Linked DNA regions of Ovis aries. The protein of the gene in region 1 interacts with the protein of each later gene in a pairwise test. Links are inferred from orthologs where the notes say so. Each region holds a gene or a part of one and is shown in the gene's direction. Other genes may lie near its edges. The genes, in order: TRIM27, ZGPAT and USP2.

Evidence for each region.
Region 2: the proteins of TRIM27 (region 1) and ZGPAT interact in binary tests that used the Homo sapiens proteins (3 or more experiments, as listed by UniProt). The two-hybrid records come from large-scale screens. The link is inferred for Ovis aries from reciprocal best matches to the Homo sapiens genes TRIM27 and ZGPAT.
Region 3: the proteins of TRIM27 (region 1) and USP2 interact in binary tests that used the Homo sapiens proteins (3 or more experiments, as listed by UniProt). The link is inferred for Ovis aries from reciprocal best matches to the Homo sapiens genes TRIM27 and USP2.

What each region holds. Positions count from the first base shown.
Region 1 is NC_056073.1:29,131,248-29,133,990, forward strand, and holds the end of TRIM27 (zinc finger protein RFP), read left to right. Parts: intron 1-540; coding exon 541-1,136; 3' UTR 1,137-2,184; downstream 2,185-2,743. UniProt on the Homo sapiens protein: E3 ubiquitin-protein ligase that mediates ubiquitination of various substrates and thereby plays a role in diffent processes including proliferation, innate immunity, apoptosis, immune response or autophagy.
Region 2 is NC_056066.1:53,737,911-53,741,390, reverse strand, and holds the end of ZGPAT (zinc finger CCCH-type with G patch domain-containing protein), read left to right. Parts: intron 1-953; coding exon 954-1,087; intron 1,088-1,305; coding exon 1,306-1,461; intron 1,462-1,998; coding exon 1,999-2,118; intron 2,119-2,207; coding exon 2,208-2,613; intron 2,614-2,741; coding exon 2,742-2,880; downstream 2,881-3,480. UniProt on the Homo sapiens protein: Transcription repressor that specifically binds the 5'-GGAG[GA]A[GA]A-3' consensus sequence. Represses transcription by recruiting the chromatin multiprotein complex NuRD to target promoters.
Region 3 is NC_056068.1:29,668,838-29,672,588, reverse strand, and holds the start of USP2 (ubiquitin carboxyl-terminal hydrolase 2), read left to right. Parts: upstream 1-865; 5' UTR 866-1,003; intron 1,004-1,898; exon of another isoform or gene 1,899-2,051; intron 2,052-2,136; exon of another isoform or gene 2,137-2,200; intron 2,201-3,027; exon of another isoform or gene 3,028-3,751. UniProt on the Homo sapiens protein: Hydrolase that deubiquitinates polyubiquitinated target proteins such as MDM2, MDM4 and CCND1. Isoform 1 and isoform 4 possess both ubiquitin-specific peptidase and isopeptidase activities.

The sequences.
Region 1 (2,743 bases):
AATCTTCCTTCTGAACAAGATAAGAAGAACAAGTGAGAGAATATGTCAGTGATTTTAAAACTGGAAACCACCACGATTGTCAGATGCATGTGGCACTATTTAGTGTCTTTATCTGATATAATGTGAATATCCATATGTTTCACAGCAGATCTGTTAGTATTGGTTGTAGAGTGCTACACCACACCCTCTCTGTCTAAATACTGTAAACTTCTGGACCCTGTGGCTTTCGGATTAAGGGGTTGGACATACACATAAGAAAACCTTAAATTCAGCTTATAACGGATATTGTGGTTTAAAATGTGGAAAAGCAAGGTAAAAATTTCAGTACTTCCAGTATATCCTAGCTAAATGAGATAACTACCTAATCCAAACAGTAATTTTGGGAATGTCAGCTTCAGGGTGGACTTAAATGTATAAAATGAATGTGTCTTTGCTGGAGAGCTCTTACTCTCTTCTCAGGGATAGGAGAAAAGCTGAGTGTTCAGAGTGGGCTGTCCTGGTGCTTGGCTAATCCTCCTCTGCCCCTGTATTTCTCTGCAGTGGATGTGACTCTGGACCCAGACACAGCCTACCCCAGCCTGATCCTCTCTGATAACCTGCGGCAAGTGCGGTACAGTTACCTCCAGCAGGACCTGCCCGACAACCCTGAGCGGTTCAATCTGTTTCCCTGTGTCTTGGGCTCTCCATGCTTCATCGCTGGGAGACACTATTGGGAGGTAGAGGTGGGAGATAAAGCCAAGTGGACCATAGGTGTCTGTGAAGACTCAGTGTGCAGAAAAGGTGGGGTAACCTCAGCCCCCCAGAATGGATTCTGGGCAGTGTCCTTGTGGTATGGGAAAGAATACTGGGCTCTCACCTCCCCAATGACTGCCCTCCCCCTGCGGACCCCTCTCCAACGGGTGGGGATTTTCTTGGACTATGATGCTGGCGAGGTCTCCTTCTACAACGTGACAGAGAGGTGTCACACCTTTACTTTCTCTCATGCTACCTTCTGTGGGCCTGTCCGGCCCTACTTCAGTCTGAGTTACTCTGGAGGGAAGAGCGCAGCTCCTCTGATCATCTGTCCCATGAGTGGCATCGATGGGTTTTCTGGCCATGTTGGGAATCATGGTCATTCCATGGAGACCTCCCCTTGAGGAGGTGAACTCAGGCCAGAAGGGCTGCTGGCTGTACTCCCACCCCAGGCATGAGGCATCTTGTTGCCTTGCCACTTCCTGCCCATCACAGCTGGATGTTCTTACCACTTTCCGTGCCCTGCAGTGCAAGACAGGATGTCTGTGTTCTCTGCCATCCCCCCCTTCCCATGAAAATTGTGAGATGTAATAAGTTATCGAGATTGCCCAGAAATAAAAACCAGATGTCCACCTCCAGTGTTCCACACTTCTTGGTCTTATACATTACTGGAGGGGATAAAGAATATGGATAATCTTGGGTTAGGAGAGCCATTCAAGATTCTTACACCTGGGCTCAGCCCCATATAGTGATCATGGGTATTTGCTGTCGTTTCTGAACCAGGGCTTCTTTCTGAGAACCCACAGCTGGACTAAAGTCCTGTCAGCATGGATCCCTTTGTCCCAGTTTTTCCTTTGGGATTAGTACCTCTACCCCTGATTCCCAATCTGCTGTAGTTTTATTAACTCCATTAAAGAGGCCTGTATGTGTTTTGATTAGTTACAGTTATTTTACAGTAATGGTGGGAAATAGCCCCACCTCTGTTAGGAGATAATATTCTAATCAATGTGCTCTTTGCCTCTATCTTTTTGAGGGCTTTGTCAGCTCCCTTCATTCTAATGAAAAGTGTATCCTAGTCCTGGATGCACATCATCCGGGATTATTTTCTGCTCAACACCACTCATTGTTCCTACCTCCCATCCCACTTCCATTTGTGGACTGATGGTCAGTCATACCCTATCCCTGGAAGGATTCTGGGGCAATATTCCAGGGGATTCATTGACTTGTCTCCATTTCTCCCTTCTATTTCAAGGGAAGAGGGAGTTTACCTTTCTGATGTGTGTACCATCAAGGGGCTATTCCATCCCTATGGCCATTGGATCACGAGGCATTCTGAGGTCAGAAAGCCAAGGCAGATCACTTAGCACAAGCCCCCATGATGGTTCTTAGTCTTCTCTTTCTTTGGGTACATGCTCCTCTGTTTAAAAATAAAGTGAGTATGGATGTTGTTTACACTGTTGTTATTTTCTGGGTCTTGGTAGGACTGGGTTCATAGATATTGGAGGAAATCAACACTATTAACCTCTATGGTTTGAGAATCTCATTCTGGTCAGTATTTTACTTTCAACTGGATGATAAAAACAGTACCATGTCACTGCTTTCTACTGGTGCTTGGAAACTAGTGTTGGACTTCCATAGCCTACAGCTTTGTATTGGCTAATCCTGTCACGTCTCTGGAAAAGTGTTCTCTCAAGTGCTTATAACTGACAGTGGGGTATGCAGCAATGCTTGGTATAGATCAGAGCGCCCAGAGCTTGCTTCCCACCTCAGAAGCAGCAGCCTAAGCCCTTAGGGTCATGGAGGGCACCACATTCTAAGGAGGAAAAATATGCTGAGAGGACAGCTCTTTTCCAGGAGGTTTTCGATCTTTTCTGCTTTTGGACATGACCTCAAGATGACAAGATTTTGTGGTCTTAGTCTTGTACCCAACATTGTGGTTCATGGCTGAAGATCATGCATTGGTGATATGTCCTGATTCATTTATTTATTCAAAAGGTTTTAAGAGAAATAA
Region 2 (3,480 bases), on another chromosome or scaffold:
GTGTGCCTGGTGGCTTCATGTCTTTATTTGGCCAAGTTCAAAGTTGCAGCCCTCTGTTCCCACACTTCCTGTCCCACCTCCTCTCTCCTGGTTTTCGTTTTGGTGTCACTGTTTCAGTGACAAAGACAAGGCAGCACCATTACAACCAGGTCCTCCTAGTTGGCTGGGGAGGCCTCAGTCCTGCGAGTGACGCAAGCAGACCCCCTGTCTTGATGACCTGTTGTGTCCAGCGGAGAGGTGCCAGGGAACTGTTGTCGCAAGTGTGTCTCCCAGCCACATGTGTGCCTGTGTGTGGGTGACTCTAGCCCAGGAGGCTGGAGAGTAACCAGAAGCCTCTAGTCCTTGGGGCACCCAGGTCCATCTGAGAGAGCACAAGCACAGTGTGTGTGTCCATACGTGTGCATGTGTACGCACATGTGCATACACGTATCTGTGTGCTTGTGTGTAGTCAGTGTGTGTATGCCTGTGTATGGTGCATGTGTGGATGTCTGTGCCTCTGTGTCCATGCATGTGTGTACATACATGTGTGCATGAGTGCACTTATACGTGTGCCTGTGTATATATGTATGCGTGTATAGGTATGGGTGTGCATACACATTTATACACATGTTCAGTGTATACATCTGGGTGTGTGTACATATGTGCATGAGTATATTGCATGTGAATACATGTATATGTGTGTAGGTGTGTGTGCGTGTGATGTGTGTGTGTACATGTTGAGTGTATATGTGTGGATGTGTACATGTGTGTGTGGATGTTGCGTGTGTATACATGTGTTCGGTGTAGATGCGCATAATTGTGTATTATATGCGTGTCTGTGGATGTCTGTGTGGACCTATGTGTCCCTCTCTCCATTCATATCTCCATTGGACGGTGTCCAGGCAGGTAGACTGGATTATTTGGGCTTGTGGGACCCTGGTGGCCATACCTGAGTTATGCGGCCCTCTCTGCAGGTTCTCGCACGGGCAGGTAGTCTCAGTGGATGAGCTGCGCCCCTTCCAGGACCCGGACCTGAGCTCCCTGCAGGCTGGCTCTGCGTGTCTGGCCAAGCGGCAGGATGGTCTGTGGTACCCAGCACGGATCACTGGTGAGGCTGCCCCGGGGCCTCCCTGACAGGCCCTTCCCAGGAAGCCCTCTTCATGTGTCACATGTGTTAGTCCTGCGTGACTCCTCCTCTGGGTGGGTGTTGGGGTCCCACCCCACACATGAGAAGAGCAAGGCCCCCTTGGTTTTGGCCCCACCCTGCTCCCACCTTCCAGAGCGGCTACTTCCGTGTGCTGCCCTGCTGCCTCTGTGCCCCTCCAGATGTAGACAGCGGCTACTACACAGTCAAGTTTGACTCTCTGCTGTTGAAAGAGGCTGTGGTAGAAGGGGACAGCATCCTGCCCCCACTGCGCACAGATCCTGCAGGGTCCTCTGACTCAGACGGCAGCGATGCAGACGACCCCAGCTATGCTCGAGGTATGGCTGCTGCCACCCCCAAGAGGCTCCCGGCTGGCAGGGCCCACACTGTGGTCAGTACAAGGACACACTCCCGGGGAGACGAGGGTGTGTGATGGACCTGGGGCACGTCCAGAGACCCACAGACGCAGAAACCATAGTCCCACGCAAGCCGCGGGAGGGGATGGGATGCACAGGAAGGAACAGCTTCCTGCAGGGCACGGGGACCTGTTAGCTGGATGAAGGATCGGCTGTCAGTGTCTAGCCTCCCCCCAGGGGTGGGGGTGCCCACATGGGGTCTGTTAGCCGCATTGTCCATACTGATGGAGGGGAGGACTGCTCTCCACAAGGGAACAGGGAGTGTGGAAGGGTGCCATCCTGTGACCAGGTCGTGGAAATGGCTAGGCTCTGCCTTCTGCTTGTGCCACATGCCCTGGGCAGGGTGCTGGGGATGCTGGGGGCTGGTTGTGCAGAGCTGAGCTCTTGGGTTAGCCTTGGCTGGAGCCCAGGATCCTCTGCATCTAGCTGGGTTAAGCCACTGCCCTCTGATACCTGCAGTGGTGGAACCTGGTGCTGCCAACCCCGGGACCTGCAGCTCCGCTTTTGCCGGCTGGGAGGTACACACGCGGGGCATTGGCTCCAGACTCCTCGCCAAGATGGGCTATGAGTTTGGCAAGGGTGAGTGCACTTGTGCTGCCTGGGGACAGGAGGGACTCCACATCATGGCCCAGGGGTCCAGTGGCAATGCCAGCCTGGTGTTCCCCTAGGTCTGGGCCGTCGTGCAGACGGCCGGGTGGAGCCCGTCCATGCTGTGGTGCTGCCACGTGGGAAGTCACTAGACCAGTGTGCAGAAATCCTGCAGAAGAGAACCCGGGCTGGCCAGGCTGGTGTCAGCAAGCCCCCAAAGTGCCGGAGCAGAGGGAGTGGACCTGGGGGCCGCCCACCTCCTCGCAGTGTGTTTGACTTCCTGAACGAGAAGCTGAAAGGCGGGGCTCCAGGGGCCCCAGAGGTGGGGGCGGCACCCCCCGGGAGGAGTGGCAAGGAGGTATACCATGCCAGCAGGAGTACCAAACGGGCCCTGAGCCTGCGGCTCCTCCAGACCGAGGAGAAGATTGAGCAGACCCAGCGAGCCATCCGGGGCATCCAGGAGGCCCTTGCCCGCAACGCTGGCCGGTATGTGTGGCCCTGCCCCAGGCACCTCACCCCTGCCCAGCTTCCCCTGAGAGAGTTTGGGGGCGGCGGGCCGGGTCTGAGGAGGGGCTGGAGGCGGACGGCAGTGCTGAATGTGGGCCCCTCTCCAGGCACAGTGTGACAACGACCCAGCTGCAGGAGAAGCTGGCAGGGGCCCAGCGGCAGCTGGGGCAGCTCCGGGCCCAGGAGGCAGGCTTGCAGCGGGAACAGAGGAAGGCCGACACTCACAAGAAGATGACTGAGTTCTAGAGCCCTGCACGTGTTGTGGATGGAACTGAAGGGCCTCGGCTCCTGCTGCCCTCGGGCAGACAGCAGGGATGCCACCAGAAGGGCCAGCCTGCTCTGTGGCTACACCCCACAAAGGGCCTTCTTGCTGGCCTCCAGCACGTGGACACTGCTGAGCAGAAACAGGCTGCAGGGGCCCCTTCCTGATGCTTCCCTGCCCACTGAGTCCACCTGCCAGTGTCCTGGGGCGTCTCGTGAGCAAAGACATTAAAGTGACTTTGTCACAGTGTCTGATTTCATTGGAGGCTTGACTGGCTGTGGGGTCCTTGGGGAGTAGGGGTCTTTGCGCCAGGTCACAGGGCTGGGCTGGAGGGGTCCTGAGTGAGCCTGCTGCCCCTGCCCAAACCCAGAGCCAGGAGCCTCCTTGCTGCTCTCCCAGATGTGGGTCACAGCCTCAGATGCCCCCCCCCCCACAGTGCCTGACACCCACAAATGAGTGGAGCTGGTGCTGCAGTGGTGGGAGGAGACCTTGACCATGCTGGGCCTGGGGTAGCACTGTTAAGGGGGCAGGAGGACCCAGTGAGCTGGGGGTGTTATGCATGTCTCCTCACCCGCGCACCTGCC
Region 3 (3,751 bases), on another chromosome or scaffold:
TTTGTAGGCAGAACTTTAAGGATTTCCCTCCTGATTGCCTCCAGTTCCTCAGGGAAATAGAAGACAAGGAGGGACTTGGGAGAGTGGTAATGGACAAATGCCAGCTGCAGAGAACAAGAGAAGCAGCTAAGGACACTTGGAAGGACTGACGGTCCAGGTGAAACTGAAAACCTTGGACTTGCCTTGGCACCAATCTACCTGGCCGTGTGGTTTTCTTCACAGTAGAGGAAAGGGGGGAAAGTTATATACAAAGAATGGAAGTGACCCAAAAAATCAAGTTTCCTTTGGCTTTTTCTTGAAAGACAAAAAGAGAATCTCTTCTACTGACCCAGTGCCACCGTTTTACCCACTTCAGAAAACACCACCAGTCACTCGTCTCATGTTAGTAAAATAAGCAGAGAGTGTCTTAAAGAGTAGAGAAGGGAAGAGCCAGAAGAACTGGCCCTCTCCCAGTCGGGTGGGAAGGAGCTGGAACATTTAGCCTTCCCTAAAATCTGAAAGCTGATATGTACGCCCTGGGGTTCAACGCTGAGCCTTCTCCCCGTGACCCTTCCTCTTTCCCAATACCTTCCAGCTGTCCCGTCGTGTCATATTCAGGCCCACTTCAGGTACTCCAACCACCCCTTCCAAGCTCGCGTGCCTTTTCTCCACGTGGTTCTCTGTATATGTCGGTCGCCTGGGAGATCCTGGTCGGGCGGGGCTCTGATGACGTCATAATAGGAACAAGCCAATCGCCGTGACGCGTCTCAGTGACGCTAGACGCGAGGTGTGGCTTTGCCGGCCCCGGGCGCAATGAGGCGGCAGCCCGCTGGGTGGCGCCGATTTCCCGGGGAGGTCCTCTCTGGGCCCCCGGCGGAGGTGGGGTAGAGGCGGGCAAGAGCCGAGGCCAGGGAGCCCTCTGCGTCAGCGGCTGTTTACTGCGCCGCTCCAGTACCAGCCGGGACTCATCGGTAGCTCCATGCTTGTGCCCGGCTCGACTCATCCATCCTCAGAGAATAGGCAGGTACGTGCCACCTGTCGGAGACTGGGGAAGAGGGGATACGGAGGGCAGTGCCGTGTGAGGCTCTGAGAGTGAGGTGTCAACGACCGCCTGGGCAAAATGGGCACTAGAAATGTAGGGCAAGTGCCAGCTGCGCTGAGGATCTCCAGCTGTGGGTGCCAGTTGTGTGTGTGAGCCGACAGCTCAGGGTGCCAGGGAGAGCCATCTGTGTGCTGATCAGTGTGTTCTCAGGAAACGCTGCTTGGGCAGGACCGCATCTCCGAGCCCTGTGTGGGATGTGGCGGAGAGTGACGCCTGGGCCCTGGCAAACCCCTCCCCACGTGTGCGTGGCAGCCTTCTTACTCCCTCCTCTCAAAGCTCCTGGGGGCTTGTCTCTGATCAGTTTGCCAAAGAGGGGTAGGGGTGGGGGGGAGGGTAGTAGTTAAGTGGAAAAGGGGTAGATTTTCCACCAATCCCAAACAAGAAAGAGGCATCTTTGAAATTCTCACCAATCCCAAACCAGAATCAGGCACGCGATGCTCCAAGGCAAGTAACTTATACTCAACAGCCTAAGGAAGCCCATTCTGGCTGTCCTCTAAGGAGGAGCATCTACCTCCTGACCTGGCCGCTCTTAGAATGGAACTGAGCTGGAGATCCTGCCCATGCTCATCTCCCCAGGCACAGGCAGGAATAGGTCCCCAGAGTCCGACATGTACAGTGGAGGAAAGGAGAGCTGGTTGGGCTGGGGTTGGAGCAGCCACCATTCCTTTGATGCTGTAGATGATGCCAGACTGGAGTCGGAATGAGGACTGGAATGAGGGCTGGGGACGAGGGCGTCCTCTGAAGTGCATCATCAGGACCTGAGCTGAGTCAGTAGTCTCTGCTGAGACAGGGTGGAGGCACCATCCCGGGTACTCCCAGTCCTCAGGGACAGCCATCGAGAAACAGGAGGAACAGCTGGGAGCTGACAAGAGCACCAAGGTCCGAGAGGTTCAGAATCCTGCACCTTCCTCCTGTGACCCTGCCCAGCCAGCCTGGCTCTGTAGGCTCGGGATCCTGAACACTCCTCCAGGTAGAGTGGAACCACTCCAGAGCAGCCAGGCTTGCTCCTGGTAGCCTGGGGGAAGCTACACTTGCTATATATTTTTCTAGGTAGAGAAGGAAAGAGCCCAAGTGGGCCTGGCCCTCCTCTGATGGGTGGACTGCACATCTGGGAATAGGGTAAGCCTCATTTGCCTTGCCAGCTATGGGACACGGATCAGCTCGGAAAACCATGGCAGTTTTCTGACATGAGAACAGGGCACTCCCACGGGGTGGCCTGGAGGAACCTTTTCTCACTAGCAAGGTTCACCTGACAAATGCTACCACTAATTAGAAGTGGAAGTATTTGATCTAGTAGTGATTATCATTTATTGAACTCTTACTATGTGCCAGGAAATTAACAAGCATTATTTAATCCTCACCTCCATGAGGTATATCATTATTATTACTCCTGTTTTAAGACTAAATAAGGTTTGGACCACTTAAATGACCGCTTAAATGTCTCTGAGGCAATAAAAAGGAAAGACTTGGAATACAAGCCCAAGCCTAGAAGTCCATTATAAAAGAGCTTGAACTGGAAACCTGAGAGAGGTCCCTTCTGCCTCTCCCTGCTTCTGTGTCCTTGAGGGAGCTGCTGTCTGCCTCCAGGTCTCCTCCATCTCAGAGCTAAAGGAGGTGGACTGGGGCTTCTTTCTCTTCTCTACTTCTGTGACTGACACCTCCTTCTCCATATTTTTGCCTAATTCCACCCCCATCCCTCTACCCTCTTTCCAGTTCTGCTTCCCCTTGAATCCCCCTTCTGTTCCATTTCAAAATGCTCCCTGCAAACAGTCTCCCAGGATCTCCTTGCCTGGCACCCACCTCGAGAGGGAGGGCCTGCCACTGCCCCTTTAATTCTCCCTGGGCTCAGAATGCCAGCGAGTGGAGCTAGCCATCTCCATGAGGTCAGATAAGATACTATATATATCGAGTCAGTAACCTGAGCCCCGGATTACCCGGCCCAAGTCAGACTCCTGCTTCTGGGCTCGCCACTGCACTCCCTGCCCTGCCGGGGAAGGAGAAGCCCCCAGATCCTGCCCAGTGTCCCCGGACACAGGTCGGTAACTGCTCCTTTGGTATCCGAAATTCACAGGGCCGTTGTCCCTAGGGCCCTGGACTGTCTGTTTGAGGGATCCCTGTCTGTTTGGGGGAGCATGTGAGAGGCCACCCCACCAGGCCTGGAGGTGCTATGGGCAAGACCCAGGGGCAGAACCAAGGGCTGGGAGGCCAGGAGGAGGAAGCTGAAGCCCTGGAGGAGAGGGAAGGAGCCTGGGGCTCTCCCCTGGGGTAGGGGTTCCAGGAGAGTGCCTGGGACAGTCGTGGTTAGAAAACAGAATTTAAGAATTCCAATACTGCCTGGGGGCCCCATATCTTTGCCTTTTCTTGGAGGTATAGAGATGCCAACCCCCTCCCAACCCAAATGAAGGAGAACCCTGAAGAGACACTGCGTTAAGCCCACCCACCTCTTCTCCTCCAGGCGGAATTCTGGTTTTAATCTCCAGTCTCTTTATTTTACCTCTTTTGCCCGTCCCAGCCCTTGAGTAACTGTTGGGATCTAGAGAAACTGAGAGGGACCCAATCCCCTTGATGACCCCCGGCCAAGGCCTATCAGGCACTAAACTGGTGGGTCAGAGGGTGCCAGCCCAAGAGGTAGAGCCGCTAGCTCCAGGCTGAGGCTCCTGGGCATCTGAG